Tamandua tetradactyla: one gene and its partners. The protein of the gene in region 4 interacts with the protein of the main gene of each other region in a pairwise test. Links are inferred from orthologs where the notes say so. Each region holds a gene or a part of one and is shown on either strand. Other genes may lie near its edges.

Region 1 (7,425 bases), on a different chromosome or scaffold from region 4:
TTCTACGCCGTTCTTGGCTTTGGGTGAATTTTACCACTTCACTGGCAAAACTGATGCATCTAGTCAACAGGTAGGGACCAAATCTGTTCAATTTGTCACACAAAGCATTTAATTAAAGCTATTATCCATGAACTTCCAGCAGCAGGTTGAGGCTACCGGGTGGAATTGGACTCAACTGTGGGACCCCAGGCTTCCCAGCTGAACAAATCCCATACAACATCAGATGTACCTTAAAGAGTCAGGTGGCTTCCTCCGTAAGCCTCTGTATTAACCTTTCCACTTGGCCCAAAGCACTGATCCAGGTATAGCAAGATATGTTAATGATTGTGCAGACTCTGCCTTGGCCTGTGAGGAAGAAGTCCAGGGACTTCAACCACGGTCAGTGAATTGAGGTTGACCTAAATGTCTTCCAGGCCAAGGTGTGATCATGTCTGCTAAAGTCAGGAACAAATTTCAAGCCACTGTTTTTGGGAGAGAGGCAGGTTAATGTGTGAATTCCACACAAATAGCCCAGGCTCGGAGCACACGTAGGATCCAGGGAAGAGGCATGGGTTTCCCCCAGGTGTCTGTCAACCTGTGTCCCCTGACATCATTTGGACACACAGGTTGGCAGTGCTCCAGCGTGGCCTTAGGATTCCAGTTCGACTTGAACAATTGAGTTTTAGTTCTCGTTTTTGGAGGATACTGAGGGCTGATGGTCCAATCTGACCTATTTGTCCATGCCACCAGCTAGGTGGCATTTGTCCACTCCACGGGCTGACTGCATGAGGGCTATGGAAATAGGGTGGGGAAGACATCTGGTGCTGACAGATGGTTTTTTTGGGTGGGGCAGGAGCTAAGGCTTCTCCCTGCTCTTTCCAGCGTCTCCACATGGCTCAGTGAGTAACAATCAACTCAGGGTCAGAACTGTCTAGTGGAAGACTGACAGATCGCCTAGTCAGTTAAGTTTAAGGCACTTGCAGTGGTTTGGGAGAGTTGGACCTAGGTGTATTCATGGTAAGATGTCCCCAGGGGTGGTTCTGAAAACAATGGCCATTAATGTCCCTCCTTTTCCATCTCCCAGAGTCTGGAGTGTTCCTTACCCAGCTACTGAGGTTGTTCTCTCCCCTGCCACAAAATCCATATGTCCCATTCCGGAGCTATAAATTCACCTGTTTCTCAATCATCCCAGACTTTGCATCCAGAAGGTCCAGGTGCAACAAGGATAAGGGCGTTTATAAAACTTAGAGAGACCCACGTCCCTCACTCTACATATGGGCCACTGTTGGGGAACGCAGAGAGAGGGGTACTCAACCAGGTGGCCCACTTATCCTCCCGATCTAGGACCATGTCAGTCCAAAAAGAGAATCCAGGTGATTGGACCACAGTTAAGTTTGAATTTCCAAGGATGGGGCTCCCATGTGCAGGGCTTACCACCCAGGCTGGCCAGGGGCTGCTGTTAGGGTAAAGAAAGCATCCTGCCCAGGAATGGTCAATGCTGATCTGTCTAAACTCTCATCCCTCTCATCCTGATGGTTTCCCGTAACATGACCAAGAAGAGATGATCCCTTCCCTGGGACAGCCACATTCAGTGATCAAACTGCCTCACTGAGGTGTGTGGACCAGGAGAAGATGAGAGAGGGGAAGCCAGAAATGTTTCTGAGTAGATTTTGCAGAGGCCGTTTCAAGGCTTAACAAGACCATATATCTGAGGCAGGGAAGGGAAGGCTCTTGAGATAAAAGGTGCACCATTGTTAGACTTGAAATGGTCCAGAAACCTAAAAACATGCCAGTGTAGTTGTAAGAACCACAAGGAGGTGGCCTGAGTTGCTTGATTGTGCTGCAACAGCAACACTTTAACCTGGAAAACAGACAACAGTGGTGAGACACTGTCTAGAGCCCCAGGAGGCAGGTAAAGGTCCCATAAAGCCAACCTGTCAGGAGTAGAAAGTGGCAATGTTGTTTACCCTCCATCACTGCAAGAGAAACAGACCAACCTGTGGCAGGAATCACTGCCTGGCATGCAGTAGTAGCCTTTGCCTTAAAAATCTGGAGAGATGATGAGACAGGCAGATATGGTGAGGCTGTGAGTGGTGCCGACTCCATCGACAGCTTGAATTCAGCCGGGCTTATCAGTAAATTGGCTCTCGCTGTGGCCGTTTGCCTGAGTGAGCCAGATATGTTTCCACTGTTAGCTGAAAACATCACCATCCAAACTCCTCTGTCAGGTGACAAGGCCATTATCAGTGAAATCATGGATTTCACCTTTGGGAACTCTGATTCAGCCACAGGGCTTTCCAGCTGAAGCCACAAGGTTTGTGTCCTTTGGCTGACCCAGGCTTGAACTAGTCAGTCTAGTTAAAGATTTGTCCATTTTGTTGATTTCTTCAAAGAACTAACTCTTGGTTTAGTTTTCTCTATTGCTTTTCTATTTCATTTATTTCCACTCTGATTTCTATTATTTCTTTTCTTCTGCTTGGTTGAGGCTTGGTGTGCTCTTCTTTTTCTAGTTTCTTAAGGTGGAAGGTTAGGTTATTGGGTTGAGATCTTTTATTATTTTTTAAATACAGGCACTTATGGGTATAAATTTCCCTCTAAGCACTTCGTTGGCCGTATCCCTTAAGTTTTAGTATGTTGTACTTTCATTTTTATTCACCTGAAGGTATTGTCTAATTTCTCTTATGATTTATTCCTTGACCCACTGGTTAGTAAGGCGTGTGTTATTTAATTTCCATGTATCTGTGCGTTTCCCAAATCTCTTCCTGTTACTGATTTCTAATTTCATTCCACTGTGCTCAGAGAGCATATTTTGTAAAATTTCTATCCTTTTTAATGTGTTTAGGTTTGGTTAATGGCCTAGCACATGGTCTATTCTGGAGAATGTTTCCTGTGCACTTGAGAGGAACGTATATTCAGCTGTTTAATACTTTAAGGTCCCTTGCGATTTACATTGGGCCACCTGGAAAATCTCCCTATTTTAAGGTCAGCCGATTAGCAACCTGAATTCCTCCTTTGTCATGAAACATAGTCACAGGTTCCAGGAATTAGGATCTTTTGGGATCATTCTCTTGCCTACCACAATAGGCCTGAATCACGAGCACCTTCTTTTTTAGGCATCATATTTGCTAAAATTAACTAATAAACAACAAAAACAAACAAAAACCACAGAACCATTTTTTTGGGGGAAATAATGGCAAAAGAATTATTCCCTTAAAGTTACGGTTTGTGAAGACGCTGAACTGTTTTAATTCTCAATACTGAGACATAAAATTAGGACAAAACATAATTCAAATACTTTTGAAAATGAAATCTGATCAACTGTCGCATAAGTTCTACCATCGATTTATGGCAGTTTTTCTATAAAAAGATAACATCCTCATAGAACAACTGTATTTCATAGTGTAAATGTAACAAGCAGAAAGAACATGAATGACAGTTTTCTCCTATGGTTGGTCACAAACAAATCATGGCCAATTAACAAGTGGTTCTTGGTATATTTCAGTGGGTTAAACAGCAGATATTTTCCCCCAAAGTCTTTGGATCTCTGTTGGTTAAACTTAAAGCTTCTAGTTTATTATGAGGGAAAATATGCAACCACAGACAAAAGTCAGAGGGAGGCCTTACTCATAATGAAAACTTCAGACATTACATCACAAAAATAAATATGTTGAACTGTATGGCATTACCAATATCTGACTGGTTTTAACCTACAAACACAGCAACTTCATGCTGTTCAACCTAATAATACAGCAAGGAGAACTCCCTGTAATCCTTATGTCTCAGAAGGGACCACTGATCTTTGGTGTGTATTCCTCCAGGCTGGGGAATATATGCACATTTATGGGTCATAGAATTATCACCACAAAATTGTACCATAGGTAATCTTTTTTTTCCTTAATTTTTTTTTTTTTGGGTGGGGTGTATGGTCCAGGAATCGAACCTGAGCCTCCCACATGGGAGGTGAGCATTCTACCACCGAACCACCCGTGCACCCACCTAAACCACCTGTGCACCCCCCATAGATAATCTTTTGCAACCTGCTTTCTAAACGCTTTGAAGAGCAGAGCTGTGAATTCAGGTTCAGACCTGAATTCAAAATCTAGCACAGGCTTGGATCAGCTGCTGCCCCTCTCTGGAGCCTCAGTTTCCTCACCTGTAAAATGATACTAATGATCTTGTGCCAATTATTAATTTATTGTCTCTCAGCTCCAAATTTATTCTCTTTCTCTGCTCTGTGCATTCGGACCTGGGCCCTTTAGTTTTCTTTTGCTGTTGACACAATGTTAAGTGTTGTCAGAAGAGGGCGCTGGAGAGGCAAGGCTGGAGGAGAGTTTTTGCTTCCTGGTTAAGGTGCATTTCTGGGCAGCCTCTGCAGGAGGGTGCAGCTGCCCCAGCACCCACTGCCCCAGCACCCAGCTCCCTCAGGGCATTCTCCACACAATTCTTGACAAGGGATAGCACATAGAAAGTTCTCAGAAGTCTTGATGGTAAAGCCATTGCAGGAGTCATGGTGTGCAGATCAGCTGACTGGGGAGCAGAGGTTTGGACTTTTTCAGCCTCCGACAGCCACGACGTAATTGTCACACCCTCATCTGAGCCTGACCATCGTCGTTGGTGCTCTAGAGCCAAGGGCAGATATACTTAAAGCCCATTATAAAATATTTGGGTTCCTTAAGCACAGGGTTCCTCTCTTGTAACATAACCCATGGTTATGGGTCCATCTAGTTCCACCAGCACTGCCTTCTTAAGACTCCAGGGTAAAGGGAACTGACGCAAATATGGTCCTGTTCATGCTGCTTGCTATGAGTGAGTAATAAAGTTCCTTGTCTCTGACCCAGGAGACTCGAAGCTCGTGCCAGCATCCATTAAACTGCAGGCTAACTTGTTAGCCGGCAAGTAGGATAAAATCTCAGACCTTTCACCCTCCTTGACAGTTCAGGCAATGAGGAAGGGATGCTGACAATTCTGTAGGCGGAAGGATGAGGCTCTTAAACGGCCTGATTAACACTATTTGCGGGAATTTCAAGTGAATTGACAGCACACATATTGACCAAAACGTATGGTCAACCAAGCAATAGGCGGCCTCCTTCCCCAGCGCCCCGATGGAGAAGTGAGAAGCACGGAGGCCCGACAGGCTCCACGCGCGCGCAGGGGCGGTTCGTGGCTATGACTGTCGTTTGTCGTTGCGATGACGTCGCTGCTCGCCCCGCCTATCCGGAAAGGAAAAACCCCAGGGGAGGCGGATTTCTCACGCCAAGGGTGTTTCCTACCACTTCCGCTCCTCCGCTGGCCTCGACCGTCGAAAAGTCGCCGCCCACTGGGCTGCAGCTGCCGGGCGCTCCTCCAAGGCACGGTCAAGTCTGCGACCAGAAACGCCCCACTCAGGGCAGCGCGCGACCTGAGGCGCCCTCGGCTGCCCCATTTCCGCCCTCAGCCCCACATGGAGGCGCCCGAGCCGCGGCGGAGGGCGCAGGGCTTGTGCGTCACTTCCGGTGAGCTCGGCGGCGACAACGGCAACATGGCCCTAAACGGCGCTGGTGAGGACTTAGGCTGCGGGGGCCTGTGGCTGCGGGGTACTGGAGTCAGCCCGTTCCGGCAAGAGCCCCCGGCCCCTTATGCCTCTCTTCCTCCAGAAGTCGACGACTTCTCCTGGGAGCCCCCGACGGAGGCGGAGACAAAGGTGTTGCAGGCGCGACGGGAGCGACAGGATCGCATCTCCCGGCTCATGGGCGACTACCTGCTGCGCGGTTACCGCATGCTGGGCGAGACGTGCGCGGACTGCGGGGTGAGGCGAGAACCTGGCCGCTGGGCCCTTCCCCAGCTCTTCCTTCTGCACCCTATCGCCCAGCGCCTCACTCCTGCCCCGTGTGCTTTCTGACCCCTAGACGATCCTCCTCCAAGACAAACAGCGGAAAATCTACTGTGTGGCTTGTCAGGAGCTCGATTCAGACGTGGATAAAGATAATCCGGGTGAGGGCCCGAGTGTGCTTGGTAGGAAAGAATCGTGGCGATGGAGGCCTGGGGACAGTAGGTCTGAGAGGTGACAGTGGAGTCTGGGAGTGGGCAGAGGTAAGGTGCTTTCTCCTTTAGCTCTAAAGAGGACTATTCATTCAGTAAGAACACTTAGCACCTCCTGTATGCGAGACGCAGTGGGAGAGTCTGAACTTTATCAGGCAAAGTCCTGATGGGAGAGATAAAGCAAGGACATAAATAATTGTGACACAAAATAGAGACTGGATGAATTGCTTTGTAGAGGAGTACAGAAAATACTTAAAGAACAGAAAGAGCAGAGCAGTCAAGAGAGAAGGTGGCTCTGGGCTATGGTGGGCCAGGACTTCTGACCATTCCACCTGCTTTTTCCTCATTTAGCTCTGAATGCCCAGGCAGCCCTCTCCCAAGCTCGGGAGCACCAGCTGGCTTCTGCCTTGGAGCTCCCCTCAGGCTGTCGACCTGCTACTCAGCCTCCGGTACCCCGGCCAGAGCACTGTGAGGGAGCTGCAGCAGGGCTCAAGGCAGCCCAGGTGCCACCCCCAGCGGCAGTGCCTCCAGATGCAGATGTCTTGGCCTGCACACAGGGGGCTCTTCTGCAGAAGCTGACCTGGGCCTCAGCTGAGCTGGGTTCTAGCGCCTCCCTGGAAACGAGCATCCAGCTCTGTGGTCTGATCCGGGCTTGTGCTGAGGCCTTGCACAGCTTGCAGCAGCTGCAGCACTGAGACACCCCTGAGAAAAACCCTCTAGAAAAACACCTGTTCATGTGTGTGGTTCTTTTCTTGGTTTTCAGTGTGTGTCCCAGCCCCAGCTCCACTTGTCTTTTTCCTCCTTTTGGCCTCCCACCCTTCCCCCATCTGCTTTCCTTGATGTCTCTGAGAGATGGGTTGTGAGCTTGTTTCTGCTCAGATTCCCCAGTCAGAAGGTGAAGGGGGAGAGAATGGACAAAATGAGAACCCTTTTTCTGGGGTGTGGGCCACAGCTTCCTCAAAGGCAAGAGGAAGATGGGTGGGCCACCAGCCTGGACCTGGCAGCACCCCATCCTCCACTGCTCATTACCTGCCTGTGAGTGAGATCTCGATCCCCTTTGCATCCTGAGCCCATATCCTCTCCCACCTCATGCCAGCCCCATAGAGTCATACCCTGCAGGAGGTTGTGGTGACCCTGACATCAAGTTGCACGATCGAGCCATCTCCTGACTCCCACTTTTGGTCCTTCTCACCTAATGATGCGTGTGTAGCAGTGTACCAGGTTATGTCCTTGGGAGAATAACTGGACAGAATGATTAAGAACAGCTTGGGGAGGAGGGCAAGGAGTACCATCAGGAAACCATGCCCGCCCCTTTTGGTGTCTGCCCCTCTCCTCCATCGTTTTCCTGCTCTTTCTGCCCGACCTCCTATTCCGGATCTCACCTTTAGTGCGGCGTGGGCCCACGGCCGTTGCCATTTTAAGGGAGGC
Region 2 (7,771 bases), on a different chromosome or scaffold from region 4:
AGACACGCCTCCACTTAATCCAGTTTAACAACCACTCTTGATTAAATCACCTCTCCAGGGAGATGATCTGATTACAGATTCAAATATACAGTATTGAATAGGGATTATTCTGCCTTTATGAAGTGGGTTTTGATTAAAACATGGCTTTTCTAGGGGACAAACATCCTTTCAAGCCAGCACACAGATCTATACATGCTAAGTGAAAAAAAAAAAAAAAAAAAAAAACCCGATATGCCTACAGCCACAAAAGCTCTATGAAACACATCTCCCCCCAAAAAGTTCAGTGGCTTTAAAACAGCAACCATTTATTCTCATGGATGTGGGATTAGCTGAGGGTTGGCTGATTGGGTTGAGCTCAGGTGGGAAATTTGTCCCCCACATCTCCACCGTGGGGTGTGGGCTAAAGGGGGAGCAGCCACGTAGGAGAAACACTTCTGATGATGATGCCAGCGCATGAAAGTAAACATGCAAGGTCTCCGAAGGCCTAAGCGTAGAACTGGCAAAGTTGTCACGTGGCCAAGCCCAAAGTCAAGGCCAACGAATCTTCAGCCCACCTCCATGGAGAGGTGTTTCCTCACTTGTTTTACTTCAATGGGCGCACACACTCCTATATCAGCACACAGCCCAAAGCCGTGGAAGATCTCTGGAAGGTATGTGAGAAGGTATCTAGGGATCAAGAAGAGATGAAGATATGTCATTGGTAACAGAGACCATCAGGAGTTAGAAATAGGGTAAGATAATGGGTAATTGGAGCTGAAGGGATACACACTGTGCAACAGGACTAGATACAAAAACTCAAAAATGGACAGCACAATACTACCTAATTGTAATGTAATTATGTTAAAACACTGAATGAAACTGCATCTGAGCTATAGTTTTTTGTTTGTTTGTTTTGTTTTTTATATATATTTTTTGTATTTTTTATTTTTAATTTTTTCTCTATATTATCATTTTATTTCTTTTTCTGTTGTCTTGCTATTTCTTTTTCTAAATCGATGCAAATGTACTAAGAAATGATGATCATACATCTATGTGATGATATTAAGAATTACTGATTGCGTATGTAGAATGGAATGATTTCTAAATGTTGTGTTAGTTAATTTTTTTAATTAATAAAATAAATAAATAAATAAAGAAGAGATGAAGACCTACTTTTCACTCCTTTTATATTCTGTGAATTTCTTTTTCTGACGGTGCATAAATTTTTCAATTAAGGGGGGAAAAATAAGACTTTTTTTAAACTGGCCAAACTAAGGGACCGGCAAAGCCTTCCTGATCAAAATGGGGGAAAGAAGTGTAATAAAATAAGGCATCAGTGGCTGAGAGACCAAATGGAGTCAAGAGGCTATTCCGGAGGCTACTGTTACCTGAGCGTCGGTTGGAGAGTGCTGATTGCCATGGTTTGCTAACCCCCAACCAGCATCACTCCTGTTGACTCTTCAGAACACCTAGGGCTGGAGCGGAGACGCTATAAAAGTTTCACACACTAATTTTGACTTCCTGGAACCTATAACTTCCAGAGGGTTCCCGGGCCAGATACATCCTGAAACACCAGAGGGACCAGCCTCTCCAAGGTTATCTTAAGTACATCCCCCTATCCTTTAGTGTTGAGACTCCTTCTCAACATGAAAAAATCAGAACCAGCATTACCTAAAGATCCCTATAGATTGGGAGAAGGAGCAAAGGAGAAGGAAGAGGTATGACAGAGAAAATAGGATTTAACAAATAAATATGACTGCTGAATCACTACACTGATTTTAGCCTCCGGTGTTTTGGATCCGCTAGAAGATAAAATCTGAAATATGAAATAATGGAGTGGTAGCCCCTGACAAACTCTGAAATCTATTCTGTTGAAGTGCACTTTGAAAATTGTTGCTTTTTCTTTCCTTTCTGTGTATATATCTTTCACAATTAAAAATGTTAGAAAATAAAAAAAAACTGGATGAGAGGTGAAAAAGAAAATCCTTGACCCATCCACCCATTTTCCTGAGTTGGCAAACTGAGGCCTTATGGAACAGGATGGGGTGTTTGTTGACTGCCTTCTTGGATATGGACTTGGGTAACCTATTTCTCCTCTCTGAGCCTCAGTTTCTTCATCTTAGGTGGGACTAATAATGGTACCTACCTCAGGTGACTATTGTATGGATTTAATGGCTCTGCTACTACTTGGCTGTGTGACTTTAGACAAGCTACTCAACCTCTCTGTGTCTCGTCTTCTTCATCTGTGGAATGGGGATAATCCTAGCACCTGCCTCGTAGGGTTGGTAGGAGAGCTTGGCTCAGCACCTGGGTGTGGCTAAGAACTCAGAAACACCAGCCCTCATTGGTGTGAGGGAAAGTTGCTTGGCACAGGGCCAGCCTAAAGAGATGGTTGCCTTAGTTAACTTTCTTCTTTCAACCTTTCCCTCATTGAATCCTTCCACAATACTGTGTGGTAAACCTGATCATCCCTGTTTTTCAGAGGAGGAAACATGGGCTCAGAATGAGGTCATTTCTTGCATAGTCACATGACAAGGAAACGACAAGGCCAGAATTCAAACTCAGATCTACCTGGCTCCAGGTCCCTTGGCCCCCCCACCCCTCCCCACACACATGTAGTATCTGCTGTGTGCCACCACCGTCTCCTAAGCCTTTTCTCGGGATGACTCGTTAACCCTCACAACAGCCTGATAAAGTAGATTACCCTCACAAGTCCTGTTTTACAGATGGGGAGCCCGAGGCCCAGAGAGGTTATCTCCCGGCTCCGGGACACACAGCCAGTAAATGGCCGAGCTGGGATTTGCACCAGTCTATCACCCACCCTGCCTTGTGTGCAGAACCAACATACAGTGTCCTGAGGCCAAAAGCATGGGAGTGGGTGTAAGGAGGGGAGCTCAGCTGTCCCTTTATCCCTCCCAGCCCCCTCTGGAAGAGTTAGATTGTGCATTCCATCATTTAGGCACCACCATTCTCCCCAGTGCCTTCACTTGTACTTGGACGTGCTAGGAACATGGCAGTGATGGGAGACAGACTTGGTCTTTCCTTTCCATAGGGGGCTCCTGTCCCGTGGTGTAAACAGACCCATTCCTAGACAGCTACAACCCAGAGTGGGCAGGATTGGGATGGGGGAGATCAGGAGGCTGCAGGACCCCCAAAAGGATGTCTGACCCAGCCTGGGAAATCAGAGAGGGCTTCCTGGAGGAGGAGAGGAAGCAACAGGTTGGCTGTGGCTCCGTGGGAGATAACTGACCTGCGCTGAAGTCGGGAGCCTGGTTCACGGTCCCAAGGCGCCCTCTGCTGGAAGCAGCCCCTAGTGCAGATGCTTGGAAAAGCGTGAGTTGAGGTAAAAATCCTGTGCACCAAGCTTGGACCATTTTATGATTCTAGGGTTTGATTCGTTTAGTCAGTCACTCAACAAATATTTATCGAGCACCCAATAAGCTCCAGGCTCTGTTCTAGTGCTAAAGATAAACTTCTGACAATACACAAGGTCAGGAGCTGACAAATTCTAGAAATGGAAGAAAATGTACCAATAATTATAATAGTATACAATCAGTGCTAACATTTGCTAAGTGTCTCCATATGCCCGACCCTGATAAACGTACTGTCCATATGTAACAATAACCCTTTGATTATTCCTATTTTACAGAATGGAAAGTGAGGTATAGAGAGGTAAAGTATTACCCAAGAACTGCACAGTCCGTAAATGCTGGAATCAGGATTTGAATCCAGAGCCCATATTTTTAACCATCATATTACCTCCCCTCTCTAATAATCTAATATAATATGATAACTGAGATGATATATGATATAAATGTTATAACATAATAAATGTGAAATGATGTGTTTATAAAATAACTTCAGGCCCTAGACAATTTTGTGAACAAGATCAAGCAGGGAAATGAAGTAGTATTTTGGTGGGAAGATAATTTAGACGGAGTGGTCACTGAAGACTTCTCGGAGGAGGCAACCTCTGATAAGAGACCCGACCACAGCGAGATCTGTCCGCAGATCTGTAGGAAGACGGTTCCAAGCAGCGGGCGCAACCAAAGCAGAAGCCCCGCGGCCGGCATAGCGCAGCGGCCATGGATCTGGGATCCCAAGCGTCCGAGATTCCAAGTTTCCGAGACGCTAGCTTAGCCGAGGCCCCTCTTTTCCAGGCCCCCAGCGCGCTGGGATCATCCTCAGACCCGACGTGCACCGACAGTTCTGCAATTCCCGCGGGGAGGCGCAGCGGGTCTACACTTTTCTGGGCCGGGGGGGCGGGGCCGGCCTCACCTGCGGGGGGCGGGGCTCCCTGGCCGCCCCGCCCCCCGCAGGTGACGCCGCGGTCGGAGACGCGGGACTCAGCCGGGCTCAGCGGGGAGCGGGGTGCGGCGCGGGTGGGGCGGGGCGCAGCGCGGCGAAGCGGATCCCGGAGGCGTCCGCGGACAGGTGGGCACAGGTTGGCGGGCTGGGCGGGCCGGGAGTCCCGGGGGACCGCGAAGATGGGGGTGTGGGAGGGGCTGCGGGGGCGGAGGGAGAGGCGCCGGGCTGGGCGCCCTCCTGGGCACGCTCCCCTGACGTCGGGGACGGGCCTCGCGGTCCCTGAGCGCCCCCTGCCCCGCCCTGGGGTCGCTCAGGGGGGTTTGGAGGCCCGGCCCGCGCCGCACCCACTCCCCCGCGCGCAGGTAAACAGCCGCGAGTGCAGGGCGGGGCCTGGGGAGGGGGTGCGGGGCAGGGGGAGAGAGGGAGTCCCTTGTGACGGGCGGGGAGGCCGGGGCGCGGGGTACTGGGCCGGCCCGCCGGGAGTAAGGTGGTGCGGACTTGCCGGGGCGGCCTGGAGCCTCCTGCCCGCCTGTGTGTCTGAGAGATGGTGCCCGAGGCCCTTGGGGTGTGTACGAGTGTGTGATGGTATAAGGCTGTGGGTGTGCGTGTGAACGGGAGAGGAAGCGTCTGGGTCACCGCCTGCGGGTGGAGGGCGTGCGTGGATGATGTGGGTTGTGTGATCCATGAGGTGAAAATGTGGATGACCTTCTGGTTGTGACTGATGGTGTGTGTGTTGGGAAGTTGGGCTGTTTCTAGGACTTTGTGTAGTGGGGCTGGTCAGCTTTCTGCTGATGGCTGTGTGTGTGTGTGTGTGTGTGTGTGTGTGTGTGTGTGTGTGTCTCGGGAGTTGGGCTGTTTACGGGAGCAGCCCTAGGTCAGGATGAATAATACAAGACTAGGCACCGTCTGGTTGTGTGTCTCTGAGCAACGCCTGTGTGCAGCTGTGTGTGCGAATGTGAGCAGGAGGTGTGTAACCGTAGGTTTGTGCCTGTAGGATGGTGTGTGTGTGTGTGTATGTGTGAGGGAACTGGGGGAGAGGTGGTGGCATGTCCCTGTGTGTGGCTGATGGAGGCTGGACTGTAGCATGGGACGGTGTGCGTGTAACTGTGGGTGGGTAGAGTGAGGGGTGTGTCTGTGTGTGTGTGGAGCGAAGGCAGGGAGGAGCGTGTCTGCACGGAGGTGCTGTGCCGCGGCCTGAGGCAGTGTCAGTGTGGGAGACAGGGGGGTGGGGATGGACAGACTGAGGGACGTGTGGGCGAGACAGTCCCCTGGCTCCCATGGGAATGAGGCTGGGATGGGTGTGACAGGGCAGACGCAGGTATCCGCATTGGCGCTCTGCATGCAGGGCGTGATTGCCATCCTGTCACCCGGGTGGCCGCCTGCTGTGGGGGCTGGATGAGGGGGACGGTGTGTCTGGAAACAGAACTCTGCAGTCACCCCCCGGGCACATGCAGCTCAGTTATGGCTGAGATTGCATATGACCTCGCAGCGCACGGGCTGAGTCCACAGGACCGGGCGACGCACGGTTGTGGTTGTCGGGGTGACTGCTGAGGAGCCTGTGCGGTTGGGTTTGACTGTTCGTGTGGTTTGTGTGAGACGAACACACACGTACACGTGTTGAAAGAGGGAGAGAGGTGGACCGGCAGCCATCAGGGCACAGAATGCCTGCAGGGCAGCCCTCCTGCCTGCGTGTGTCCAAGGGTGTGTGGTTGTGATTGTGGAGAAGGTGCCGGCCTCCCAGGCTCTTATGGGGTCCCTGTGGCTTCAGTGACATGTGCTGAGTGTGACTGTGGAACTGCCTTCTCTGAGTGTTAGCTGCCATCTATACTGGCGGAACCTACTTCCAGCAGGGGGAATAAGCTAAGTAAGTTCAGGGGTGACTTGCACGTGTGGTGTGCATGTGCACATGTGTGTAGGGGCATGAAGGCCTGGCTGGCCAGGCGAGGGGGCAGGCTGGAGAAATTGGGGGAGGTGGAGACCTGTCCATGAGGAATCTGGGGGAGAGGGTCGGAGGGGGCGTTGGCTGCTGGCGGCCCTGTGCAGGCGGGAGGGGGCATGGGGCATGGGGGCAGGTGAGGAGGTCCAGAGACCCTCGGAATATGAGGGAGAGGGGATTTACTTGGATCTTCCAAGATAAGGGGAAGGGGGAGGAGAGAGTTTCTGCACGTGTTGGCTTTTACGTTTAGAGAATGACCCTGAGTGTTGGGTTGTATTTCCAGGAGGGGAGAGTATGGTGTGTTTTTTCTGAGAAGAGTGTGTGTGTGTGTATGACATTAGGTTGTATCTGTGAAAGGAGAACATGGTGTGCATGAGTGTGTGTGTGGCATTATATTTCTAGGATAGTGTGCACTCGGTGTGTGTACACGTTGTATCTGGGAAGAGAGTATGTGTGTGTATTGTGTGGTGTTTCAAAGAAAGGAGAGAGTGTGTGTGTTGGGTTGTGTTTTGGAAAGGAGAATGTGTTGTCTGAATTTCTGAGAAGAGAGTGGAGTGTGCGTGTGCATGTCGTGGTATGTTTCCTGCAGGCCGTGTGTGCATGCGAGTGTGTCTCTGAGGGTCACACAGGCACCAACAGCTGGGATCGGTGACCTTGAGCCACCACTACCACCCGCATTAGAACCTTACCCATTGCAATCAGGGCCTCGGACCCTCGGCTGTCATGGGGCCAGTGTGACATCCGTGGGCCACGCCTGCCACACGCATGTCCCCACACGCCCTGGGCCACTGGGCGTGTATGTGGTGGAGGGTGGGGGCCCTGCTCCCCCCAGGTCTGTCAGTCTCCCCCATCAGAGCCACATGGGGGCACAGATCGCCCCCCCGCCTGGTCCCCCAATCTAGAGAGCTCCTCTACTTCCGGCACCCCAGCCTCTCAGCCCTCTCCATCCCACCCCGCCCATGCCAGTGGTCTGACTGGTTTCCAGCAAAAACACTCTAACAATGAGCTCATGGAGAGGCTGCCGCCTCCATGCTCCCTGCCTGGCTCCACGCCCCACAGAGGAGGGTGCCCGGTCCAGGTCCCACAGCTGGGAGTTCTGGGTCAGAGTATCCAGAGTCCTTGGGGTGGGGAGGAGTGGCCAGGTGAGCCAGGGGAGGTGTGGGGGCCACGAGCCTGCTGCATGCCTCTCTTGGTTAATTACACATGGCGGAGTTTGGACCTGTCCCCAAAGCTTCCAGAATGTTTCCAGATAAGGGCTGTCTAGGACAGGTGTGGAGGCAGGGGGCTGGCTGGGATGAGGAGGGCCTAGTGGCACAGGGAGAGGTTGCAGTGGGCTGGGGGGCGTCCTGCAGGCTGGAATGGGAGTGGAGGCAGGGGGGTGGCAAGATGGGGAGGAGTTGGGGGTGTCTTGCCAGCTGGGTTGGCCATGGGGAGAGGGGGCTGGCACCGACTCCCCCAACCCTGGCCACCCCCCAGGAGCAGCGATGTCGGTGCAGGTGGCAAGTCCTGGAGGTGCGGGGCTGGGCCCCGAGCGCCTGAGCCCTGAGG
Region 3 (8,656 bases), on a different chromosome or scaffold from region 4:
GTGAGTATTCAGTAATAACTCAGATGTGCCCTCTACTCCCAGCCTTGAAGGATCTTGCTGTCTTTTTAGGAACAGCCACTTCAAAACAGAACATTAATAAAACTGAGGGAATGATCACAGTATGTTAATAAAACAACCAGGAGATAAACTCTTACTAGTTTTTTTTGCGTTTTCCAGAATATATATATCTATAATTGTTGGCTGTGAATAACTTTAATACCTACTGGCTGAAATAAATAAAATCTACATAGAAAAAAGTATCAGGACAGCCTCCTTCATGATGCCAGCCCCTGGAAATAACCAGCTAACGGTTTGCTACAGTTGATATTTTCCCATATTACATATACATAAGTACTTCTTAAATAAATGGGCTCAAACATACTTTCTATTTGTAAACTAGCCCTTTTTTTTTTTTTTTAATAATATAACTAGCATGGACCAGTTCACATGTTATGTCTTTAAATAGTCACCTAGTATTTTGTTGAGTGGTTGAAACACCATATTTAATCAATCCATTATGGGTAGTCATTTAGATGCTTTCCAGTTTACACTATTATAGACAACGTTGCTGGATAGATGTTGTGTTGGGGTCTGTTCTAGCTTGCTAGCTGCTGGAATGCAATATACCAGAAACAGAATGGCTTTTAAAAAGGGGAATTTAATAAGTTGCTAGTTTACAGTTCTAAGGCCGAGAAAATGGCCCCATTAAAACAAGTCTATAGAAATGTCCAATCAAAGGCATCCAGGGAAAGATGCCTTGGTTCAAGAAGGCCGATGAAGTTCAGGATTTCTCTCTCAAGTGAGAAGGCACATGGCGAACACAGTCAGGGCTTCTCTCTCATCTGGAAGGACACATGGTGAGCACGGCGTCCTCTGCTAGCTTTCTCTCCTGGCTTCTGGTTTCATGAAGCTCCCTGGGAGGCGTTTTCCTTCTACATCTCCAAAGGTCGCTGGCTCGTGGAGTCTCTGCTTCATGGTATTGCAGCATCCTCTGGCTCTCTCTGAATCTCCTTCATTCTCCAAAAAGTTTCCTCTTTTATAGGATTCCAGAAACTTATCAAGACCCACCCAAACGGGTGGAGACATGTTGTCACCTAATCCAGTTTAACAACCACTCTTGATTAAATCACATCTCCAGGGAGATGATCTGATTACAGTTTCAAACATACAGTATTGAATAGGGATTATTCTACCTTTATGAAATGGGATTTTGCTTAAAACATGGCTTTTCTAGGGGACATACATCCTTTCAAACCAGCACAGGGTCCATATGAACACCCACGGGATCCCCCAGACTCAATGATTCCCTAGGAAGATTCACAGAACTCAGAAAATCTGTCCTGCAAAGTTACAGTTTATTGCAGCAAAAGGATATTTATTAAACCAGCAAAGGGAAAAGGCACATGGGTGAAGTCCAGGCACAAGCTTCCAGGTGTCCCTTCCCAATGAGGTCACACAGGGCTGTGCTTAATTCTTCCAGCAACAATGTGTGAAACATGTTCAAAGTACTGCCAACCGGGCAAACTCACCCAAGCATTGGTGTCCAGGGTTTTTATAGTCATTCAGAAAAGCAGCGCCGGCATGATGACCTCAGCACCAACAGTCTCCAGCCCCTTCCTGAAACAGCATGACCCAGGGCCTTAACCATAGAAAAACAAATCTCATTAATCCTAAGCCACTCACATACTGATGGCTACTCTTTTTTGAGAAGCTGATGCTGGAGAACAATAGTACTTAAAAGTCAGGTAAGTAAAAGGAGCCCACAAAGGAAACTGAGAAATTGTAGCCAAAGAGATAACAAAGAAGATTAGTATCTCAGAAGCCAAAGATTGGTGTCTGGGAAGCCATCCCTGTTATGGATTGACTCATATTGTCCACAAAGACATGTTTAAGTCCTAACCCCAAGTCCTGTGGATGTGAACTCATTGGTCTTCCAAAATTTACTGTTTTAAGGTCAACCTCAATTTCACTAGGCTGGAGGGGGGCTCCATTCACTATATGGTGGGGCTCAGCTCTTTATACTGGAGTCCTTACAGGAAAGGGAAATTTGGACTGAGAAGGAGACAGAAGGAGACAATAGAGGTTGAGATTGAGTTATGGATTGCAGGCCAGTCACCACCTGAATGGTACAGATTTCAGAGAAAGCATTTTCACTGAGAAATCAGGATTTAAGGGATGACTTTGATTACTGAATCATTATATAGATTTTCCTTTTTGTTTTCTGGTTTATTGAAGCAGACAGGGAAATTCCTGAAATCTCTAAACTGTAACCCAGCTGCCTTGATTGCTGATAATGATTATATAGCCTTTATCTTCTGCCCCTGTGATTGTAAAAACCTGGCGACTAACCTTCATTTGTAGCCAGTTATCCAGTTTAAAAAAAATATTTTTATTATAAACTGCAAACAAACATACAAACATTCTTGACATGGATACAGTTGATGGCTCACATTATCATCACATAGTTGTGTATTTATCACCATGATCTTTTTTTTTAACATTTGCATCTCTCCAGCTAAAGGAAGAAAAAAGAAGAAACTCATACATGCTATACCCCTTACCACTCCCTTTCATTGACCACAAGTATTTCAATCTACTCAGTTTATTTTAACCTTTGTTCCCCCTATTATTTGTTTATTTCTCATCCATATTTTTTACTCATCTGTCCATACTGTAGATAAAAGGAGCATCAGACACAAGGTTTTCACAATCACACAGTCACATCGTGACTATCATTATACATTATACAATCATCTTCAAGAAACATGGCTACTGGAACACAGCTCTACAGTTTCAGGTACTTCCCTCTAGCCACAGGAATACACCATAAACTAAAAAGGAGATATCTATATAATGCATAAGAATAACCTCCAGAATAACCTCTTGAAACCTTGAAATCTCTCAGCCACTGACCTTCATTTTGTCTCATTTCTATCTTCCCCCTTTTGGTTGAGAAGGTTTTCTCAGCCCCTTGATGCTGAGTCCCAGCTTATTCTAGGATTTCTGTCCCATGTTGCCAGGGAGGTTTACACTCCTGGGAGCCATGTCCCATGTAGAAAGGGGGAGGGCAGTGAGTTCACTTGCTGTGTTGGCTGAGAGAGAGAGAGAGGCCACATGTGAGTAATATAAGAGGTTCTCTGGGAGTGACCCTTAGGCCTAATTTTAAGTAAGCTTAGCCTGTCCTTTGCGGGGATAAGTTTCATAGGGACAAACCCCAAAATTGAGGGCTCCGCCCATTGATTTGGCTTTCCCCATTGCTTGCGAGAATATCAGGAATTCTCCAAATGGGGAAGTTGTATTTTTCCCCCTTTCTCATCATTCCCCCAAGGGACTTTGCAAATACTTCTTTATTCACTGTTCAAAACACCTAGTTATCCAGTTTTTCGACTTTAGAATCTTGTAATCACTAAAGACAGCTCCTAATGTTTATTAATGAAGGGTCTTGGGTCAGCCCAGAACTAACCCACCCCAAGTCCAAAGTAGTCTTGATAACCGAGACTGGATCTAACCAAAGTGGGCCCACCTGACATGCGCAGTAGCTTAGACTTGACCCTACTAGTCACTTAGACCTCATTCTGCCATTTTCTTACATATGTCCCATGGCTAAGCATGTAGTTGATCTGCACATGCTCAATAATTAGGTCACCTCTCATTACATCATCTGGAGCCACAGTACTCATTATCCTAAACCCTGCCCAGCTTTTCTCTAATAAAACTGTCAGAATTACTGCAGTTTGGGGAGACAGACTCTGGGCCGCTAGGCCATCTGCTCTCCTACTATGTGCCTAGTAATAAACTCTTTCTCTCTCTCAAACCCTGGTGTCTCAGGAATTGGTGATTGAGTACATCGGGCAAAAGAATCCGTGGCCTTTGTCTGGTAACAGCATGATCCTACTGACATCTTGACTTTGGACACCTAGCCCTTGAAACTGGGGAGACAATAAGTTCCTCTTGTTTAAGCCAACCAGCCTGAATTAATCATAGCAGTCCTAGCAAACTAAGACACTTGGCATTTGGGTTAGATGCTCCCCATGTGCTCCCTTAGAGCCTTGTCCTTGTCTGTATCATAACACTAATTAGGCTATTTACTTATAGTCTACCCAAACTTTCTCTAAGTTCTTTGAGGGCAAAGATCTCTAATCTTCTTCACATCCTCAGCATCTACGCTAGTGTCTGACACCAGGTGTTTTCATGTTTGAAAAGTGAGAAAGATTGTGTTGATTTAACCAGAAGACTGCTACTGTGACTCTTCCTGAAAAGGCTCTGGGTGAACCTAACTTAGGGAAAGCTTTTGAGATAGAAAAGGGAATAGGGTTGAGAGGAAAGTGCATAATGTCCTTTAAGTAATAAAATACCAACCATGGATCTTTCGTGGCTAAAGTGAGTGACTGTTATTTTTTTTTTTGACCAATTATAGCTTTAGCTTCTCTGGAGTCTACCCTTCCTATAGATAAGATTTATTCAGATACCCAGTCAGAGAATCACCTCAACTTCCTGACAGCGTTCAATTCTGAGCAAAGCACTGCTTCCTTAAAAAAACTCCTCAAAATTACCTAACACAAGCCCAAATTCTACAATAAGACCTCAAAACACCCTTTTACCGATATGTCCCAAGGTTCAGTACAGTTACAGGTGGGTTCCTGATGGTCTCTGGCTGGAAGGCGTTGACATACAAAAGCACATATAAAACACAAAACAGCAAACATCAACAAGGAAAGGATTAACATCCCAATATAAAAAAACTGGCCCCCCGCCCCCCAAAAAAGGAAAAATGCAAGAGACGAAATACAAATAAATGGATATATAGGCATTAAAAAAAACGTTTGACTTCAAATGCATGACATGATGCTGCTGATTCTGCTGGTGAGACATTTATTTCAAAATTGAATGCAGCTGCTCCAGCTGTCCCCTTCCAGAAAGTCTCAACACGAAAAGCCGGGGAAACTGTGTAGATGGGGAAATTTATCCTCTATCATCATATGCGGGGTGGGGGAAGGAGTGAAGGGTTGGTGAGGAACTGTGACCGCGGCTACATGTCGCCCTGAATAGGGTTTAGTTCTGCCACAGCAGCGCTAACTGCTCCTGCAACTTCACATTCCCAGGGTCTTCGCGGTCCTCCGGTGGCGCAGCTGCCACGCTCCAGTCGGCGGGTCCCAAAGGAGGGATGTTCTAGCCAGCCGCTCCACTCGATGGTAGGGACGGCGGCCGCTTGGCTACTGGGCGCCGCCATGTTGGAGGCTCAGGACCCGTGCCATGGCATCCCGCGCCGTAGCCCCTGCTCTGGCGAGGCCTGTGTCTCGGAGCACATGCGGCAAGTGCGGCCGGGGCTCTATCTGGGTGGGGCCGCGGCCGTCGCGAATCCTGACCTTCTCAGGGAGGTGGGCATTACGGCCGTGCTGACTGTGGACTCGGAGGCGCCCAGCTTCACCGCGGGGACTGGGGTCGAGGGTGTACGATGCCTCTTCGTGTCAGCGCTGGACAAACCCGAGACCGACCTGCTCAGTCACCTGGACCGCTGCGTGGCCTTCATCGGCCATGCCCGCGCCGAGGGCCGCACGGTGTTGGTCCACTGGTGAGTGGTTAGGTCTTTGGGGAGAACAGCCCTGCCTCGCTCCCAGCCTGTCCTCGCTGTCCCTCTTCTTCGAGGCCCCCAGGAGAGGATAGATGCCATCTAACGACGAAAACCTCCTTCCACCCCCATCCCGCGCGAGGCCTGATTTGGAGAGAGTTTGGGTCAGGAGACAGGCCCCTGATGGCGTGCAAATCTTCACTCTTTCATGTGTTGGTTGGTTCATTTTGTAGGCAATGTGTTGGTTTGGGGGGAATACTCAGATAAATGACAACGTCCCTGCATCTAAGGAGTTCACAGTTCTGGAAGAGAAGCCAGATACCCAGATAATTGTAACACAGACTAGGATGTGAGGCTTGTACTAAGAAAGAGATCAGACTACAGAGGAAGAGCTGATTATTTTCAATTTTTTTTTTTGGGGGGGGGTGGGTCGTTGATGAAGAGAAGAAATGGGGAGAGAGGGTTATGATTTAAGAATTCCTGGGCCATTCCCAGGGGAAAGACAGGATAGGTTGTGTAGCAAAGGCAAATAAGATAGAAAATTCTGATGAGTATTAGGAAATTCTTAAGTAGTCATTTTAAGGGGGTAATGACTGGGTTGGGGGTAATGATGGAAGTTTAATTTATTGGCACTTAATGTGTGCCAGCACTTGTTCTAAATGTTTACATTTAGATAGTGGTGGATAAAATTGAGAGCTTGAATTCCAAGAGCAGAGGAATTTGGATTTGTTCCAAGACATTACAAATTTCTGAAACATCGGTTTAATTATTTTTGGATAAGATGTTCATGTGGTTCAGAATTCAAAGGGAATAAGATATTAAATGAAAATTCTCCCTGCACTCCTGCTACCTGGGCACCCTTCCCTGGAGACAATAATGTTAACAGTTTCTTATCCTTCTGAGATACTTCATGCATGTAAAAGCAAACATTTGTGCGTGCTTTTTTCTCTTTTTTTATTCACGATGGCATATTATGCAAACTGTTCTGCACCTTGTTTTTCTCCTCACTTAAAACATCTTGAAGATTGTCCCATATCAGGACATAAAAAACATCTTTACATTTTTTTGAGCTACATATTCCATTTTATGAAATACCGTAAGTAATTTAATCTGTCTCACACTTGATGGGCATTTAAATTTCAGTATTTTACAAACAGGCATAACCTTTAACAACCATTTTGCCCACGTGTGAGTATACCTTTGGGGGAATTCTTAGAAGTGGAATAGTTGGGTCAAAGAGTATGTGCATTTGTAAATTTTAGCAGTTGTTGCCAAGTTACTCTCCATTTATACTTCCACTGGCATGGCAGAAAGTTCCTGTTTGCCTACATGGTCTCCAGTAATGTGAAACATCAAGTCTTTTGATCTTTGTCCATCTGAAAGGTAAAAATGCTTTTTTCTTGGAGATTGTTGTGAAGGAAATTTTAAGTGGTAAAATTGACTGATATTACTTAGTGTGTTAGTTTGCAAGCTGCCAAAATGTGATATACCAGAACTGGAACAGCTTTTAAAAAGGGAAATTTAATAAGTTAGAAGTTTACAGTTTTAAGGAAGTGAAAGTGTCCAAATTAAGAGGTTACCTTCACTTGAGAAAGGTCAGTTGGTCTGGAATGCCTTTTTCAGCAGGGAAGTCATGTAGCTGGAATCTGCTGGGTCCCTTGATCCGGGGTTCTCTTGCTTTCAGTCTCTGTCCATGTGGGGGTTCCTCACTTTACTTCTCTGGGACTGGCTTTCCCTTCTTGGCTTCCCTTAGCCCTCTCCAGGTTCTGGCTTGCTTAACATCTCATGGTGACATCTGCTGGGCTCCAAGCATCTCCAAACATCTGGGTCTCTGTTCTCCAAGCTCTGCTCCGAAGTTTCTGTCGGTTCTTTCTCTGCTGACTCTGTTGTATCTGTCCTTTATGGCTCTCTCCAAAATATTTTCTTTTAAAGGGCTCCAGTAAACTAATTAAGATCCACCTGGAATGGATGGAGTCACATCTCCCTCTAATCAAAGGTCACACCCACAATTGGGCATGCCACATTTCCATGGAGATAATCTGATCAAAAGATTCCAATTTATAGTCTTGAATCTGGATGAAAAGAAAGGGCTGTTCCCACAAGATTGGATCAGGATTAAAACATGGCTTTTCTGGGGTACATGATACTTTCAAACTGGTACACTTGGAATTTTTATTTATGCTTTAATATTTAGACTCAGTTAGGCATTTAAAAATTATATATCACTCTTATGCATACTCAAAAGGAAAATACTGTAAAAAAAAAACATAAATTGGTTGTTATTCCTAAAACTATTTCATGTACAGAGCCTAATTCTTTTGAATCATTTATTAAATATTCCCTATCTATAGCAATGACAAATCTGTCACAGTTGTCATCTGACTACATCAGTTGTAAGACACAATTTCAGATGTAGGAATGTAAAAACGTGCCTTTAAAAATAGATGAAATGACAGGTGGTTCAGTGGTAGAATGCTCTTTATGTGGGAGACCCAGCTTCAATTCCTGGACCATGCAACCCCGCCCCCCCCCCCCCCCAAAAAAAAGAGTGAAAATAGGTGAAATGTGGTAATCCAGACATGATATAATGGTGGCTCTGGTCTTTTGAAAATCAGTGATGATGGAGTGCGGGGTCTCAAGCGAGAGATATAATGGTTGAAATCTTTTTATTCCAACAAATGATTTTTTTCTACTCCAGAGGACTATGTGAATGTGGATAATCAGTGTGGTTAAAATGGAGGAGAGTTGGTGAATTCTAGGTACATGTGCTAACTTGGAGTTAGTATTAGGTAATCAGCTCTTAATAATTTCTTCATCACTTACAAGTTGTGTGACTTTAAACAGAACGCATAATTCCTTTCACTCCCAGATTCCTCATCTCCAAAATGAGATGCTGTATTTTCCTAACTAAGTTGCTGAGTGATCATAATGGCGTATGTGAAAGGACCTAAATTTTGTGAAATGTGATATGAATGTTGTAATTAAAATCTGATTTACTACAGGCAGTAATTAATAGTTAAATTTCCCGGGTTAGCTCATCTAAAATGAACTTTATTACTTTACTTATGCTTGATTATGACTTTAATT
Region 4 (8,258 bases):
CACTAAGGCAGACCAACTACTATAGCACTCAGCCTGCTCACTCTAGTAAGAAGGAAGCATATGTGAGCCTTTATGTTAGGGCATCAGTATCAACTTTTTCTGTATATGGTCAATTTAAATATTTATTTAAGACTAGGATTCATTTAAGATGTAAAAAATAGTTACACCAGTGACACCAGGTTTTTCATATTTGTCTTCCTAAATGAATATGACAGTTCGCAATTTTACCCATTCCCCTGTGGAAATTACATTCTGCCATTTCCCCCAAATGCTAATTTTTCTTTCCCTTTACATAAAACTAAAGGAGTTGTCAAATGTCCTTCAGAAAAATAAAATGAAGAGAATCGACATGCGTTTTAGTTTGCTAGCTGCTGGACTGCAATATACTGGAAATGGGATGGCTTTTAAAAAGGGGAATTTAATAAGTTGCTAGTTTACAGCTCTAAGGCTAAGAAAATGTCCCAGTTAAAGCAAGTCTATACAAATGTCCAATCTACGGCATCCAGGGAAAGATACCTTGGTTCAAGAAGGCTGACGATGTTCAACATTTCTCTCTCAGCTGGAAGGGCACATGGCAAATATGGCGTCATTTGCTAGCTTTCTCTCCCGGCTTCTTGTTTCATGAAGCTCCCATGAGGGCGTTCTTCTTCTTCATCTCCAAAAGTCACTGGCTGGTGGACTCTGTGGTTTTCTCAATGTTGTGGATCTAAGAAGGGACTCTCTCCAAAATGTTTCATCTTTTAAAGAATTAATGGGTGGAGTCACAACTCCATGGAAGCCATCTGATCAAAAGTTACCACCCACAATTGGGTGGGCACATCACCATGGGAACAATCCAAATGCTCCCAGCCAGCAATATTGAATGAGGATTAAAGGACATGGCTTTTCTGGGGTCTATCACAGATTCAAACCGGCACATTCCACCTTTTGAACCCCAAAAAGACATGTTCTTTCCAAATGCAAAACACATTCATTCCATAACAATATCAGAGAGCCTTAAACCATTTCAGTAAGAATAAAAATACAAAGTGAGACACAGTATAGAATTTCATCAAAGTTAGTTACAGGCATGGTCTGTCCTAAGGTAAAATCCTCCTGTGGCTCTGGACCTGTAAAAACTCAAAACAAAAACTTGGAATATGTCATTGGTAACAGAGACCATCAGGAGATAGAAATAGGGTAAGATAATGGGTAATTGGAGCTGAAGGGATACAGACTGTGCAACAGGACTGGATACAAAAACTCAGAAATGGGCAGCACAATACTACCTAATTGCAATGTAATTATGTTAAAACATTGAATGAAGCTGCATGTGAGATATAGTGGTTTTTTGTTTGTTTTTTTGGTTTTTTTTCTTTTCTCTCTATTATTGTTTTATTTCTTTTTCTGTTGTCTTTTTATAAATCGATGCAAATGTACTAAGAAATGATGAATATGCAACTATGTGATGATGTTAAGAATTACTGATAGTATATGTAGAATGGAATGATTTCTAAATGTTTTGTTAGTTAATCTTTTTAATTAATAAAAAAAGCAATTATAAAGAACCTGTAGAGCACAAATCCCTATAAACAATGAAAAGTCTAGAATAAAGAAAAATAAGATTCAAAAAAAAAAAACTCAAAACAAGTTATTTGTTGCCAACATACAAAGGAGGAATAGTCATAAAATACATATACCCATTACCATAGGGAAGAATTGGAAGGAACACAGGGGTCACAGGACCCAAACAGTTTCAGATACACTCAGGGCAAAGTCCATTAGATTTCAAAGTCTAAGAGTCATTTATCCTTTGGGTTTTAGAAAATGGCAGTCCCACACTTTCCAAGGGTCTAAGCAGTGGTATGCCTCTCTCTGAATGTAACCTTGAGGAACATTGGGGTGACCACCTTTTTCTCAGCTCCATCCTCTCCAAGCATTGAGGCTGCACCTGGGCTCTCTGCCATCTCCAGGGCACATGCTCAACCCCTCCATGTAGTGGCAGCCCGGCTCTCCCCAACTCCAAGGAATGTGCTTTGCCCTTTCCAAGGCCTGAGGAGGGAGGATTCTTCCACTGCAACAAGATGGAGGGCCCATCTTCTGCCTTTGGGACAAACTCACCCTCTTCACGTGCTTAGGTGGGTCCACTCTCCTGTCCTGAGGCTTCTTGACTTCAGACCCTAGCCTCCATGGCTTTGCCTCTGAAGTTATTTTTCCTTCACTGTGTCCTTCCCTGTCCCTCTCAGTCTTGACTGGCAGTGGTTCTCTGTATACAGATTCTGCAACACTCTCATTGGTTTTCTATGCAGTAGCCTTGGATCATGTCCATCAAACATAAGGAATTTCCACAAATCCTTCCTGGATAACTCCATGTCCGGGCCTGGCTTTCTCTGAAATGACTGGCTCTTTCCACATTTGGTTAAATCCTCACGTGGGGCACTATCCTCTGGGGTTTCCCTTTCTGGAGGCCCAGAATTTTTCAGAACTTCAATTTCTGGGTCCTTTGTACCCAAGAGTTCACTTCTCAGCCTATCTCTTTCCTGTCGCATTTCACTATAAGCTGGGAGGAAAAATCAGGCTGCACTTTCCACATTTAATTTGGAAATCTCTTCTGCTAAATATCCAAGTTTATGGCTTTTAAAATCTGCCTTCCAGTCAAATTCCAATCAAAAAGATACCTGGTCACAGGTATCTTTAAAGTCCGCATGTCTACCAACAGTCTCTTCTAAGCATTCTAGCTTCTCTATCAAGCTCTTCACAACTCCTCCAAAATTTTCCCCTTATCCATTTAAAAAGCCATTCCAACATGTTTGATATTTGCAAACCACAGCAGCACCCGACTCCTCTGGTACCAAAATCTGTTTTAGTTTGCTAGCTTTTGGAATGCAATTTACTGGAAATGGGATGGTTTTTAAAAAGGGGAATTTAATAAGTTGCTAGTTTACAGTTCTAAGGCCGAGAAAATGTCCCAATTAAAGCAAGTCTATAGAAATGTCCAATCTAAGGCATCCAGGGAAAGATACCTTCGTTCAAGAAGACCGATGATGTTCACCATTTCTCTCTCAGCTGGAAGGGCACATGGCAAATATGGCATCATTTGCTAGCTTTCTCTCCCGGCTTCTTGTTTCATGAAGCTCTCACAGGGGTGTTCTCCCTTTCATCTCCAAAAGTCAGTGGCTGGTGGACTCAGTGGTTCTCTCAGCCTTGTGGCTCTAAGAAGGGACTCTTTTCAAAATGTTTCCTCTTTAAAGGATTAACGGATGGAGTCACAACTCCATGGAAGCTATTTGATCCAAAGTTACCACTCACAATTAGGTGGGTTGCATCTCCATGGGAACAGTCAAAATGCTCCCAGTCAGCAATAGTGAAAGAGGATTAAAGGATATGGCTTTTCTGGGGTCCATCACATTCAGCACAATATGGTGTATGTAATTGTCAGGGATCTAAATTTTATACATAGATTCAATTATCTAAATTGCCTTCTTTTCCTGTCCTTGTGTACCTGTCTGATTTTTCTTTTAAAATTATTCTTCCTGCCCTTTTATACAATTTAGGGTGTTCACAATTCCTTGGACTCATGATCTATCACGTGCTTACTTCATACCATCCCATCTTCTTCCTCTTTTTTCCCTCTTTTCTCTGCCAATTTGCAAGCCCAGAGTACCGACGTGTCCAAGGATGTCTACATCTCCAAAATTATGAACTACAAATGATATAAATTTGATGAATTCAAATAACTGTAGCAAACCCTTGGACACGTCGGTACTCTGTGTCCAAGGATGTCTACATCTCCAAAATTATGAACTACAAATGATATAAATTTGATGAATTCAAATAACTGTAGCAAACCCTACCCTCAATGGTACTCAGCAAAAATGAAACAATCAAGAAGAAAAAAGGCTCTTCTTTTCTTAAACTTCTAAAAATATTTTCTTAGAAAGCAGACTTGAAGTCACCCTGCCTGCCACCTCTTTCTACTTGCCTGTGCTTTTCAAGAGCTAAAGTCTCTGGGTTTCATCATCTTTATTTGCTTTCACTTGTTTTTAGAAAAACTATTTGCTGCAGGTAAATTCATCTTGTTGATTCACAGGAGAATAAGTTACACAGAAAAAGGGATAAATGTGGAAACCATTAACGACTTTTGGAATCAGTGTAAATTAGTATCTCAGATGCAATTATGAAAGGCCTAGTAATTTCTAAAAAATTGTAAATCTCTTAAACATTAATTATAGTTTGTTGGAAAGCTCTCCCAGGACAATAATGAAGATGGGAATCTCAAGAAAACGCTACAACCACCATACATCGTGCCCTAAAAGATGGAAATAGGATGAGTAGATTAGCTAGCTGTTAATACAAAGGGAATGAGAAAGTCACAGAAAGAGAATAGATGGAATCTCACTTACAGTGGAACTGTAAAGATGGACAGAAAGCTACAGCTTCTAGTTTTCCGACCATGTTGCATTCTCTCTGGGGCCAAGATGCACGGTAGTGTACTAGACACACTGGATTGCAGAATCATCCCTAAAATAGCCAGGCATGCCTCAGTCCTATCATCTTTGCACGGTTCTCTCTGCCCCATAAACTTTCCCTAAATCACTAATTGGCCTACTCCCTCAAGTCTTTCAAATCTTTGCTCAAATGTCACCTTCTCAGCGACACCTACTCTGGATACCTTATTTAAAAACTCACACCCTCTCAACCCATTTCCCCACTTCTAATTATCCCATGTGAGTTGGTTCAGTCAGCCTTCCCCCGACCTCAATGCAGGTTCCTTTCACCCATCCCTGCCTTGTTGCTTCTCCTTTAATTCTGGCCTGGAGAGGGCGGGGCTAGGGTCGGAGTTTGTAGGAAGGAAGGAGCGTCTCCGTAGACCCCGCCCACTGACGTCACAGACGGCTGCCAGGCGACAGTGCAAGCTCCGGAAACACAACTGCAGCGCCGGGCCGGCACGTGGTGGTGACGTCAGTGCGCCTGCGCCGTCTGGCCTGGCGCCCTTGGCTTTCGCGGGATCATGGCGGTAGCTTAGCCAGTGTTGCTGTTCTGTTTTTTTTTCTTTCTCGCCCCCAGATCCTGGAGTCGGGCTCCAGGATGTATCACAACAGTAGCCAAAAGCGGCACTGGACTTTCGCCAGTGAGGAGCAGCTGGCACGACTAAGGGCTGACGCTAACCGCAAATTCAAATGCAAAGCCGTGGCGAACGGGAAGGTGAGGCTCCGGGCGGCCGCCCCCAACTCCGCGTCCTAAACCCGAGGCATCCCGCGCTCCCTCCCGCCTCTGTCTCAGCGACACGGTGTGCCTGATCTGTTTAGTTTACAGCCAAGAACCTTGCCAGGTGCTCTGGGTACAGTGTCGGACGACACAGTCCCTGTAGTGGAGGGGCAGACAAGACGAGTGACCAGTCCTTGTAACACGGCCGAGAGACTGCCGGATGCGAAGGCAGTGTGAGGCGAGAGGCGCCCCCTTGGCCTGTGGAGGTGTCGGGGAGGGCTTCTCGCGGTAGCTGAGGCGCAGGAGTGCGTTGTAGGTGGGCGGAGCCACCGGTGCCCAGGGGAGAAAGAAGCTGCAGAGTGGGTTCGGGGTATATTCGTTGTCTTTTCTGGCCGAAGCTGATATACCCGTGCAGGAATGGCAGGAGGTGTGGGAGGTACCTTATAAGTGGAAGTAAAGAGTTTGCATTTCATACTGAAGGAAAATTCGGAGTGTTTAAAATGGGAAATTAACCTTACTATGTTTCTGTTCTAGAAAGAGCCCTATGTCAACAGGGTGGTGAATGGATTGGATAAGGCAGAGTGGAGTCTGGGAGACAGGAGAACGTTGGCATAATAAACCAGTTGACTGATGGTTTGGACGGACTGTGGCCCGTCAGACAAGTCCCTCCTGTTACAGCTCCCAACCACCTCTTCAGCTTACTCTTTTTGAGGAGTTCCCCACTGCCTTCTAACACAAGCTTGCCTTCAGCTAGTATTTGATGCCGCGGAAGTATTAGTACTGAGCTACTTTACATCTATCTTTTTATTCACGTCTGTTTCACATCACCGATTCTCATGCTACACAAAATATTGCATATTGTGTTATGCCGGCCACTATTCTAAGCATTTAAAATACAACTGGTATTTAGCCATTACACTTACCCCATGAAATAATGCCATTATATTCATTTTACAGACAGGGAAAGTGAGGTAGTAAATAACTTTCAAAGGCTACAGTGCTAGTAAGAGGTGGAGTCAGGATTTAAATCCAAGCGATATAGTATCAGAATACCATCGTCTCTATAAAACTAGCACCTAATCAATGTTTGCAAATTTGTAATATTTTTTAACCACCTCCTGTATTCTGTCGAGGGTTTACAAAGATATGTAAGAGGTAAGTTTTCAAGGTCAGGATTATCCTCAAGACTATTGACCTTGAAAAAACAATTAGGCTATTGTTTTTTTAGCCTAAAATTGTGTGCTGTAATGATTGACCCAAAAGCGATCTTGAAAGCTTCTCAACCTTCGTAAATGTGTATCTTCTTTTTAATAATGGTGACATTAAACTTGTGAGCGTTTGCGCACACACCACCATGATTGCTTATACTTGAATGAAGCAAGTGGCCAGCTGACATTCTGAGAAATTGTGAAATAGAGGTATAGATTTAGTTCATTAAATGTCTTCCTAAAGCTATTTTGTATAATAATTAGTAATTCCATATAGAAAAAATGAGGCATGATAGGCTTTCCTTTTGGTTGGAGACATACCTTAAAATTAATCAGGACAGAGAAAAATATTTTAAGATTAATTCAATAAAAATGTGTTGTAACTTTTGATCCAAAGGTTCTTCCAAATGATCCAGTCTTTCTTGAGCCTCACGAAGAAATGACACTCTGCAAATACTATGAAAAAAGATTACTGGAATTTTGTTCAGTGTTTAAGCCAGCAATGCCAAGGTCTGTTGTGGTAAGTTATGGAGGAGATGAAATAATGGTCTGTTAGCTGGTTTATGGAATCTGACCTCTTCAAATTCTCCCTTTCCTAATGTTACAACTCAATTCTGTACCTACTCTTCTCTCAAAAATGCACCTAGTTATATAACTATTTATGTATTTTTAATTTATGTATTCATTCAGCGGTTGTCATCACTTTACATATTTTTCAATAAACTCCTGAAATCATTAATTCCTATATTGGATCTTAAAAAATGTCCCAGGTCTCATTTTGTAGTCAAAAGAATTTTGATGTCTACTGAATAGGTCATGACATACTCATTTTATGGAGAAAGAAAATTAAATTTCTTTTCCCTCTAGCTCTCAACTAATAGCAATAGAACATAGACTAGTGCTTTTACAACTCTGTCATACCCAACTTATGTTATAATATGCCTCAGTTGAAGCTCATGTCATAAGGGTTTTATAATTTTTAACCTTGATGGATAAAAGGTGGAGATTTGGCTTTGATTCTAAAAGTATTTTATGGTTATATCATAATCTTGGTTCTGTGGACCTTGTTGTTGATGTTTATTTTTTGCTGAGTGGGAAACGTAGTGGTGAGAAACAACATTTTGCTTCATGGATATATATATATATATATATATATATATATATATATATACTGTGCCAATAATTGTTCTTATGTGTGTATTCTTGTTTGAGCAGTTGTTTATAGTACAGCTGAGATTGAAAAGCTGAGAGTAAAGATAAAAAAGGGGGGGTAAAAGTATTTTTACCTAGTTTATTATCTCACACATATGTTGTGAAGATCAAATAAAATTGTTTATCTTAAGTGAAAGTGTTAAGTTTTAAAGTTAATATTAAATGGAGTGACTAACTTATGACCAATAGGAATATTGCCCTAGGAAATAATCTCCATTTTTATAGTTGAAAAAAATTGAGATATTTTGAAAATAAAAAGTCTCAAAGTGTTCACAGTATTTTCTTTTTCTTAGTTTACCAGACCTTCATGTGAGAAATCAGATGCAGGAAGAATTTTAGATATACATGATTAGTTTCTGTATCCAGGTTTGGCTCTATTTTCTGATAAAAGGACTATGAAATTAGGTAATAGGTTTAAATGATCTTTCCAGATGAAGAAACTTACTCCTTTGTTGAAGTTTTTGGTGAAATTTGTCTTTATATGACATGCTTATTTATGATTCATAAAAAATTTTGACTTTTGTTTTACATAAATGACAAAAGTAAGCTTTTAAAATATGGAAAATGAATTTTTTTTTGTATCATAAAATATTGAATGGCTATTTCGTTGGTTGTAGTGGAAGGAAAGCATTATTAAATGTACCTGCAGGA

What was found.
Region 1: the proteins of CCNH (region 4) and ZNRD2 interact in binary tests that used the Homo sapiens proteins (3 or more experiments, as listed by UniProt). The two-hybrid records come from large-scale screens. The link is inferred for Tamandua tetradactyla from reciprocal best matches to the Homo sapiens genes CCNH and ZNRD2.
Region 2: the proteins of CCNH (region 4) and KLC3 interact in binary tests that used the Homo sapiens proteins (3 or more experiments, as listed by UniProt). The two-hybrid records come from large-scale screens. The link is inferred for Tamandua tetradactyla from reciprocal best matches to the Homo sapiens genes CCNH and KLC3.
Region 3: the proteins of CCNH (region 4) and DUSP12 interact in binary tests that used the Homo sapiens proteins (3 or more experiments, as listed by UniProt). The two-hybrid records come from large-scale screens. The link is inferred for Tamandua tetradactyla from reciprocal best matches to the Homo sapiens genes CCNH and DUSP12.

What each region holds. Positions count from the first base shown.
Region 1 is NC_135335.1:8,949,252-8,956,676, reverse strand, and holds ZNRD2 (protein ZNRD2), read left to right. Parts: upstream 1-5,176; 5' UTR 5,177-5,419; coding exon 5,420-5,516; intron 5,517-5,612; coding exon 5,613-5,764; intron 5,765-5,864; coding exon 5,865-5,949; intron 5,950-6,348; coding exon 6,349-6,692; 3' UTR 6,693-6,724; downstream 6,725-7,425. UniProt on the Homo sapiens protein: Might play a role in mitosis. Antigenic molecule. Could be a centromere-associated protein. May induce anti-centromere antibodies.
Region 2 is NC_135342.1:15,651,153-15,658,923, reverse strand, and holds the start of KLC3 (kinesin light chain 3), read left to right. Parts: upstream 1-4,309; 5' UTR 4,310-4,413; intron 4,414-4,751; exon of another isoform or gene 4,752-4,852; intron 4,853-7,699; 5' UTR 7,700-7,707; coding exon 7,708-7,771. UniProt on the Homo sapiens protein: Kinesin is a microtubule-associated force-producing protein that may play a role in organelle transport. Plays a role during spermiogenesis in the development of the sperm tail midpiece and in the normal function of spermatozoa.
Region 3 is NC_135330.1:14,810,739-14,819,394, forward strand, and holds the start of DUSP12 (dual specificity protein phosphatase 12), read left to right. Parts: upstream 1-5,189; coding exon 5,190-5,572; intron 5,573-8,656. UniProt on the Homo sapiens protein: Dual specificity phosphatase; can dephosphorylate both phosphotyrosine and phosphoserine or phosphothreonine residues. Can dephosphorylate glucokinase (in vitro).
Region 4 is NC_135347.1:43,869,217-43,877,474, forward strand, and holds the start of CCNH (cyclin-H), read left to right. Parts: upstream 1-4,916; 5' UTR 4,917-5,067; coding exon 5,068-5,184; intron 5,185-5,721; exon of another isoform or gene 5,722-5,964; intron 5,965-5,986; exon of another isoform or gene 5,987-6,342; intron 6,343-6,792; coding exon 6,793-6,915; intron 6,916-8,258. UniProt on the Homo sapiens protein: Regulates CDK7, the catalytic subunit of the CDK-activating kinase (CAK) enzymatic complex. CAK activates the cyclin-associated kinases CDK1, CDK2, CDK4 and CDK6 by threonine phosphorylation.